Linked DNA regions of Diceros bicornis minor. The protein of the gene in region 1 purifies or fractionates together with the protein of each later gene. This does not show direct contact. Links are inferred from orthologs where the notes say so. Each region holds a gene or a part of one and is shown in the gene's direction. Other genes may lie near its edges.

Evidence for each region.
Region 2: the proteins of AP3M1 (region 1) and AP3S2 purify together in Homo sapiens (co-immunoprecipitation; 3 studies listed by BioGRID and IntAct, counting the BioPlex papers as one, with this or other methods). This does not show direct contact. The link is inferred for Diceros bicornis minor from reciprocal best matches to the Homo sapiens genes AP3M1 and AP3S2.

Annotation. Positions count from the first base shown.
Region 1 is NC_080745.1:32,592,764-32,596,678, forward strand, and holds the start of AP3M1 (AP-3 complex subunit mu-1), read left to right. Parts: upstream 1-997; 5' UTR 998-1,270; intron 1,271-1,427; exon of another isoform or gene 1,428-1,957; intron 1,958-3,915. Other genes in the region: ADK (adenosine kinase), read right to left, coding at 676-740. UniProt on the Homo sapiens protein: Part of the AP-3 complex, an adaptor-related complex which is not clathrin-associated. The complex is associated with the Golgi region as well as more peripheral structures.
Region 2 is NC_080744.1:93,557,254-93,561,168, reverse strand, and holds the start of AP3S2 (AP-3 complex subunit sigma-2), read left to right. Parts: upstream 1-1,751; 5' UTR 1,752-1,790; coding exon 1,791-1,859; intron 1,860-3,915. UniProt on the Homo sapiens protein: Part of the AP-3 complex, an adaptor-related complex which is not clathrin-associated. The complex is associated with the Golgi region as well as more peripheral structures.

The DNA of each region.
Region 1 (3,915 bases):
GCATCATCAAGCACATGTGAGGCAGGTGTTAGGGGCAGAACTGTCCCCATTGCTGCCAAAACGTGGAAAGAAAAATCAACCTTTCCTATCCATTCAGCCAAAGACGGCCCCGGTAAAGCCTCGGAGGCCGGGTGTATGTCCCTGATAGAGGGTCTTCAAAGGTGCCAACTTTCAGAGTGTGAACGAAAAGAAAGGTCAAATCGTCCTCTTGGGACACTTGACGAAAAATCCCCGATAATTCTTTCTTTGCCTCAGCGTAGAGCAGCAGCTGGGCCTCCTCCTCGTTAACCCCCAGCGAAGAGGAGGCGGCCGCGTATGACTGCTCTGGTCCAATCTCCTCCTCTGGGGGTCACAGTACCGACAGGGAGGGCTCCCACGTGGCGCCCGCAGCCTGGCCACAGCTGGCTCGGCCTTCCCACCCCCACCCCTCGGCTGGCGTTCTGATTGGCCAAAGGCGGCCGGAGTCGCTCCAGAGCAGCGGCGATTCGGCCAAACTGGGCGGGCACCGCTTGAGGGGTCGCAGCCTTGCGGGCAGCTCCCCGAGCAGCCGGTCCTCCGTGTTGGCCCCATGCCCGCAGCGAAGGCACCACCCAGTGCCGGAGCCGCGCAACCCCACGTGGGCCCTGGTTAGCGGCAGACGCCGTCGCCCTCCACCCTACGTCGGGTAGCCCTCACCTCAGCGCTCGCGGCGCCTCCACCTTTAGCTTCTTGGGCTTCCGCTCCTCCTCAGCCGCTGCCATCTTCGCGCTCCCACCCTACTTAAGCTCCAGCCCACGCCCCACCCCTTCGACTCTCTGGCCCCGCCCCCTCCTCGCATCACCGCCTCCTTTCCTCCGAACCCCGCCCCTCCCGACTCCTCTAAGTCCGTGCCTCCCCCACCCACAGCCATTGGCTCTACCCGTCGGTTGCACCAATTGGCTAAAACATAGCCCTCCTGACCCCGCCCACCGGACAGTAGGGGGACCCCAGACTGAGTTAGGCTGCGCATGAGCGCCTGAGTCCATATGGTCAGAAATCGCCCATTCTTCTAGATTCTGGGTGATCTAGAAGATTTAGATCTTAAACATCAAGAGACATCTTTCTTCTCATTCACCGTCTTCCCGCTTGTTTAATCTTTTCAAGACTGTGGAACGAGGTGGTTTCTTTGAAGCTGTCAGTAAGGCAATCTACTGGGCACTCCACCTGCGGGGTCCTCACGGCCCTCGAAGCTTCCTCAGCCTCCGTCCGGAAAGGACCCGGCGCCGAATCACTGACAGGCCCAGGTGTTGGGGTGAGTGTGAGGGGAGGGGAGTCTGCGGACAGGGGACAGCTCGAAAACTGGGGAGTAAGCTGAGTAGCTGTGGCTCCGGATCCCAGGCTGGGCTGCAGGAGTATCTCTGGTGCTGTGGGCCGGGACCGCTCCTCCCTCCCGGCCTTCCGGGCTTCCTTGCCAGGAGGGCCGGAAGGGAGCGGTGCACCTGGAGCCCAGGGTTCTCCGGCCCCAGGCCCAAGAGGTTCAAGCTCTTTGGGGTCCCTCTCCGTGCTCTGGCTCGGGAAAAAGTCTTGTCACCCACAATGAGCTGGAGTACTGACGACTCGGACCTCAGCCCCAGGCTTTTGCTGTGGAGGACAAAACCTCTGACTGACCTGAGCGGACGTCCTGTTAGAGGGTGGCGCCTGGATGAGCCTGGGGTGGGGAATACAGTGAAGAGGGTGTTGCAGTTCTTAGAAGAGAGGTGACGGAAATCTAAACTGAGGAGGTGGCAGTGAGTATGGAAAAGTGATGAGCGATGTGGCTTGCTGGATTTGGTGGATTTGGGTTGAAGCTGAAGCTTATAGCCTACAGGTTAAGAAAGTGGTGCCACTATAAAATTGGGATATATCAAGTTTGAAACCGTGGTTTAAGTGGAGATGGTAGAAAGATTAAAAAGAAAAAAAAAAAAAAGCCTGGAAAGTAAGCCGGAAAGAAATTTTCAAGGTGAGGACCAAATCAGGTGAAGTTTCACATAATAGAGTAAGAAGTGTTCGTTTTGTTTGGGGGAAAGTTATCAGTTATGTGAAATGCTGCAAGGGTCAAAGGAGGAAGTTGAAGTCTGAAAATGGGTCGTTGGATTCGATGATTAGGAAGTCATTGGGCCACTTGAGAGAGCTGCTTTAAATAGAGTAGATTACTGAGAGGAGAGGCTGCAAGTGTAGACTTAATCCTTCTTCATTTGGAGCATGAAGCAAAAGAGTTTTGAGGGTGGCAAGGTCTCTAAAAGGTTTGGGATTTGTTTTTCTAAAGAATACAAGGCACATTATGTTTTGGTGCAGAAAACAAGTAACCAATGTATAAGATTAAAGATTCAAGAGAGATAAGACCTAGGAAAAAAGGGAAGGGAATGGGATCAAAATTACAAGTGGATTGGTTTTGGAAAGAAAGGAGGACACTTTCAGTTGAGACCATGGGAAAAGTGGAGGAATGAAGTGAGTGAAGAAGTACCTGAAATTTACATATCTTTAGTAGGAAAGCTCTCTTTACAATAAGATTAACTTTTCTTGCTGAATGTTAGGATTTTTACAATATTTCTAAACATTCAACATAATATACTATTGGAGTTCCCTGCAGACCAGATGTTTTTAAGTAGCTCTATAATATCTCAATTTATGAGTAGCAAATGATATTTGTAGAGAAAAGGAATTCTCTCTCCCTCTACAAATGTCCTTCTCTCCTATTACACAGAGATAATAGAGCCATCATCTTCCTGCAACCGAATACACAAACCTCCCCTTTTCTTTAAAGAAGAAAAAGGGTCCCTTCTTCTTAGGGAAGGCAAATCCTTTCACTTAGTCTCCCAATACCATCCTTTTCTGTCTTCTCAGGGTCCTCTTTTTTTCACTTATTCCCTCTCTCCTCCTCATTAGCCTTTCCCCCTTTACTCACACCTTTCCTTCAGTATTTAAAAATATTCTTCCTTTATGAACCACTCCCATTTACTTTCCTGTCTTTTCATCCCCTTCACAGCTAGAGTTCTTGAATATATCATCTACTCTCCGTATGTCTGTTTTTCCCACTTTCTCAGCCCACTGCAGTATATCTTGTTTCCATCATTGTACTGAACTACCACTGAAACTATTTTTACTAAGATCACCAATGTCCTCTATGTGTTAAATCATACATTCTCAGTAGGGACAAATATTGCTTGTTGTGAGGCAAAAAAATCATGCTATTTTTATGTATAAAGCACAGATATATTTACAATATGTAAAGAGATATACAGATATATATTCGGTGGTATTAAAATTTTATGGAGGAGGGGTGTGAATGAAGGGAAGTCTGACAAGTCCCCTTAGCAGGCAATAATGAAAAGAAAGTTGAAAAACACTGTTAAATCAACAGTCATTTTCAGTTCTTCTTGTAGCTTTAACTCTTTGTGCTATTTGAAATGTTTACTACTCCAATCTTCTGGTAACACACTCTAGTTACTACAAACCGTTACCCTCCCCCCTTTGTTTCTTATCCCTCTTCAGCCACATCTTCTTAGTTTTTTTATTTTTAGGCCCACTTTATGGACTCAGCTGCTACTCAAATGTTGGAGTTCCTTCCATAGGCTCTCTTCTACTATGCACATTCTCTCTTTGTAGTTTTATTCTTGTAGTTACAATTCCTCTTAACAAACAATCATGATTACTCACAAATCTATCTCCAACTTGGCTTCTCTCTGAAGCACCAGACCTATATATACAATAGCCTTTTGAATATATCCATTTGGGTCAAATATATCCAGAATTGGGGCAGATTATACAGGACCAGGGCTAAATGCCTCATTTCCCTCTCATCTCCTCCCCTTCTACCACCTAATCTTTGCGCAGGCCTAAATATTTCTCTTATCTCTTCTTCTTCTTTTTATTTTTATTTTTTTTGTGAGGAAGATCAGCCCTGAGCTAACATCTATG
Region 2 (3,915 bases), on another chromosome or scaffold:
GATTGCTAACCAGTTATCATGACATCATTACAAAATCCTTCCCACTATCAAGTTATGATTTCTCCTAAATCACATATTAAAATTATTTTATACCTAAGTTATCCATTATATTTCAATGTCTCCCTATAGTGACAATTTGAACTAATATAGTAGGTTTTAATAGTAGGTAGGGCTAGGTCCCCCTCATTATTCTTCTGTTTTGGAATTTTCTTTGACATCCTCCTCAACATTTGGAACATTTTGTCAAGTTTCAGTGCATTTTTATTGCCTTTGGCTTTTTTAAAATTAAAAAACTCTGGCTATGAGTAATATATATTTATTTTATAAAAGAATAATATATAACTCCACCACCCAAAGATGTATGTTAAATCACTTATGTAGTACTCAGTGATATGCTGTGCATTGCTCCAAGCGCTTACAAATATTAATTCCTTTTGTTTATAACTGAGGCAAGTAGAATCTTTTTTTTTCAAAAAAAAAACAGTTTTACAGTAAAGGAAACTGATGTTATGCCTGTTTCACAGATGAAGACACTTGCTTAAGGTGCCCGGGTGGTGAACAGAGCCAGGATTTGAATCAGGGCAGTGTGGTTCCAGGGGCCTGGGCTGAACGCTATGATGCCATTCCATCAGACACAATTATTATCCATATTTTGGTGTATCTACTTCCAATCTTTTACAAAGTGGGGTGTCCCTGTACATACTTTGTATAATCTTTTCACTTACAGATATGTCATGGAACATTTGCCTATACTATGGTATAAGCCTTTCACAGCACGATTTTTAATAACTTTAATATTTCTCGTATGCATGTGTAACAATGCATTTAGCCAATTTCTCATTTTGGAATAATTAGTTTGCTTCCCATTTTCCCCAGTAATAACACTGCTGAGATGTACTTTCTTGAGGCTAAATCTTTTCACAGATCCACAATTATTTTATTATAAATTCTAAAACTGGAATTGCTAGGTCTAATGTTCTATACATTTCAAAGGCTTTTGATACATATTGCCAAACAGTCCTCTGGATAGATTTGCAGCTTTATCTGCAGCATAGGGACATGTTTCACCTCACCCCCACTAAGTCATTACAAGAAAAAACAAAAACTACCAATTTGAGATCGCTGGTACCTTTTAAATGGAATTGCATTCAATATTCCTTAATTCCCACTATGCACTATCTACCACGGAGAAACAGCCCTTTTGCACGAGGACATCTATATAATTCCCTGCAGCATTGTATATAATACTGAAAAATAAAAATGAACTTAATGTTCTCCAACAGGGGACTGCTAAGCAGCCGGCATCCGCCCACGGCGGAGCGTTCCGCGCGCTTTAAGGCGGAGGCGGGACCGCGGGTCCAGTGCAGACTGTGGGGACGCGAGGCCTCCGCCGCCTCCCCGGGGAGCGGGGCTGCTCTCAGGGGTTTCTGCTCCTGGATCGGCTTTACGCCGGACTCGGGATTCTGCAGCAAGCGGTCGGTCTGTGCGAAGAGCACAGATCCAGGTTCGCGCCCTGGCCAGGCCCTGGGTGGGCAGCCGACGCTGGCCGCGTGACGACCCTCCCCAGCCTCGGTGTCCGCACAAGCCCTCCCTCGAGAGCCCGCCGCCCACCCCAGAGCCTTCTTCAAGGCATGCAGGGAGGCCGGACCCTTCGCGGTCGGGCCCCTGGGCGCCGGGGCAAGTTTCCGCGGGCCACTCTCAGCAGCGCACCAACCGGAAATGTCCGTGTTGTGGCGGAAGGAGATGCTCCCCGGAAGCAGCCAGTGCTGACAGAAGCGTGGCGGGCAAAGATGATTCAGGCGATTCTGGTTTTCAACAACCACGGGAAGCCGCGGCTAGTGCGCTTCTACCAGCGTTTCGTGAGTGCGGCCCAGCCTCGTCACGTCCCTTCGGGGCGGCCGCCCCCCTTCCTTCCCCTAGGTCCCTACGGCGCCCGCGGGCCCGGCAGGTGACCCCTTGGGGCTCCTGCCCCTTGCGTGACCTCAAACCCCTTAACCTCCTTCCGCGGCCCGGGGCCAGTGTCAGGCTTGCTGCCCCCGCCCTCCCCGACCCCGCCCTGGACCCGGCATTTCCGTGCGGTTTGGTGACACTTCCCTTTGGGTCTCAGGGCGCTCTGAGTGACGGCGGGGGTGTGCCTCATTGGGAACGTGAATGATTGCAGTCACTTTAGTCTTGGTGGGTGTTGAACGCAGTTCCATGAGGAGGAAGAAATATGCAGCTGCTTAAAAGTTTTTGCTTTAGCCGGAGGGTCTGGAAAAGTGCTTTCTTGGGATTATTTCCCTTCCATGTTTCCTGGGCCTGCCCCAGGACTGGATACCCTGCGCTCTGTCGAGTTGAGGGAAGTCAGTTTAAAAATGAGGAATGATGAGAAATTATAAATGCTGCCGCGAGAATTTTCCAAAAACGTTTTTCTGGAAAAACGCAAACATCGTTATTTGCATCCTGCCCCTCAACGTTTTCTTTCTTTCTGGCTAGGTTTCAGAATGTTACATGCATAATTGGTGGACTGGTGGAAGCCCAGAGGTGAAAGACTCGGAGAACTTAGGTTTAGGTCTCAGCTCCACGTTTTTTACCTTTGGGTCTATTGATAAGTTAACAAACTCTTCCAGGCTTTATTTCCTCTTTTGTCAAATAGAAATGAAAAAATAGTTTTGCCTTTTTCATAAGATTTTTTTTATCTAGATTACATTTTATTAAATAATTATATCGAGGTAAAAATATTAGCATTCAATATAACTATTGTTTGTATTTGTATTTTTGTGTGTGTGATTTTTTTCCCTCACTTTTAAGTGTTATTGAGATATAAGCCACGTACCATACAGTTCACCTATTTAAAGTGTACAATTCAGTGGTTTTTAGTATGTTCACAAAATTATGCAACCATCACCACAATCAATTTTAGAATATTTTCATTACCCCAAAAAGAAACCCCTACCCATTAGCAATCACTGTGTATTTACCCCTCAATTCCCCCAGCCCTAGGCAACCACTCATCTTTCTCTCTCTCTAAATTTGCCTCTTCTGGACATTTTATATAAATGGAATCATACAATATGTGGTCTTTTACGACTGGTTTCTTTCACCTAGTATAATATTTTCAAGATTCATCCACATCATAGCGTTTATCAGTTCTTCATTCCTTTTTATTGCCGGATAACATTCCATTGTATGGATATACCACATTTCATCAGGTGATGTTTTCACCTGCGGCTCTTGTGTATAATGCTGTTACACACATTCACATACAAGTTGTTGTGTGGACGTGTTTTCATTTCTCTTGGTTATACACCTAGGAGTAGAATTATTGGGTCATGTGGTAACTTTATGGTGAATATTTTGAGGAACTGCCAAACTATTTATCAAAGTGGCTGCATCATTGTACATTCCCATCAGCAATGTGTAAGAGTTCCAATTTCTCCACCTCCCCATCAACATTTGTTATTATCTTTTTGATTAAAGACATTTTAGTGGGTGTAAAGTGGTATCTCATTGTGGTTTTAATTTCCATTTCCCTAATGATTACTGATGTTAAGTATCTTTTCATGTCCTTACTGGCCATTTGTATATCTTCTTTGGAGAACGTAGGATTTTTTTTATTTTTTTATATATTTTTATATTTTTTTGCAGGGGAAGAGTTGCCCTAAGCTAACATCTGTTGCCAGTCTCCCTCCTTTTTTTATCCCCACCCCCCCCCCAAAGCCCCAGTGCACAGCTGTGTATAGTTGTAAGTTCTTCTTGTTCTTCCATGTGAGCCACCGCCGCAGCGTGGCTACTGACAGACAAGTGGTATGGTTCTGCTCCTGGGAACTGAACCTGGGCCGCCGAAGTGGAGCATGCCAAATGTTAAATGCTAGTCCATCAGGGCTGGCTTGAGAACATAGGATTTTTATAAGAACCAAATTAGCTCATGAGTGA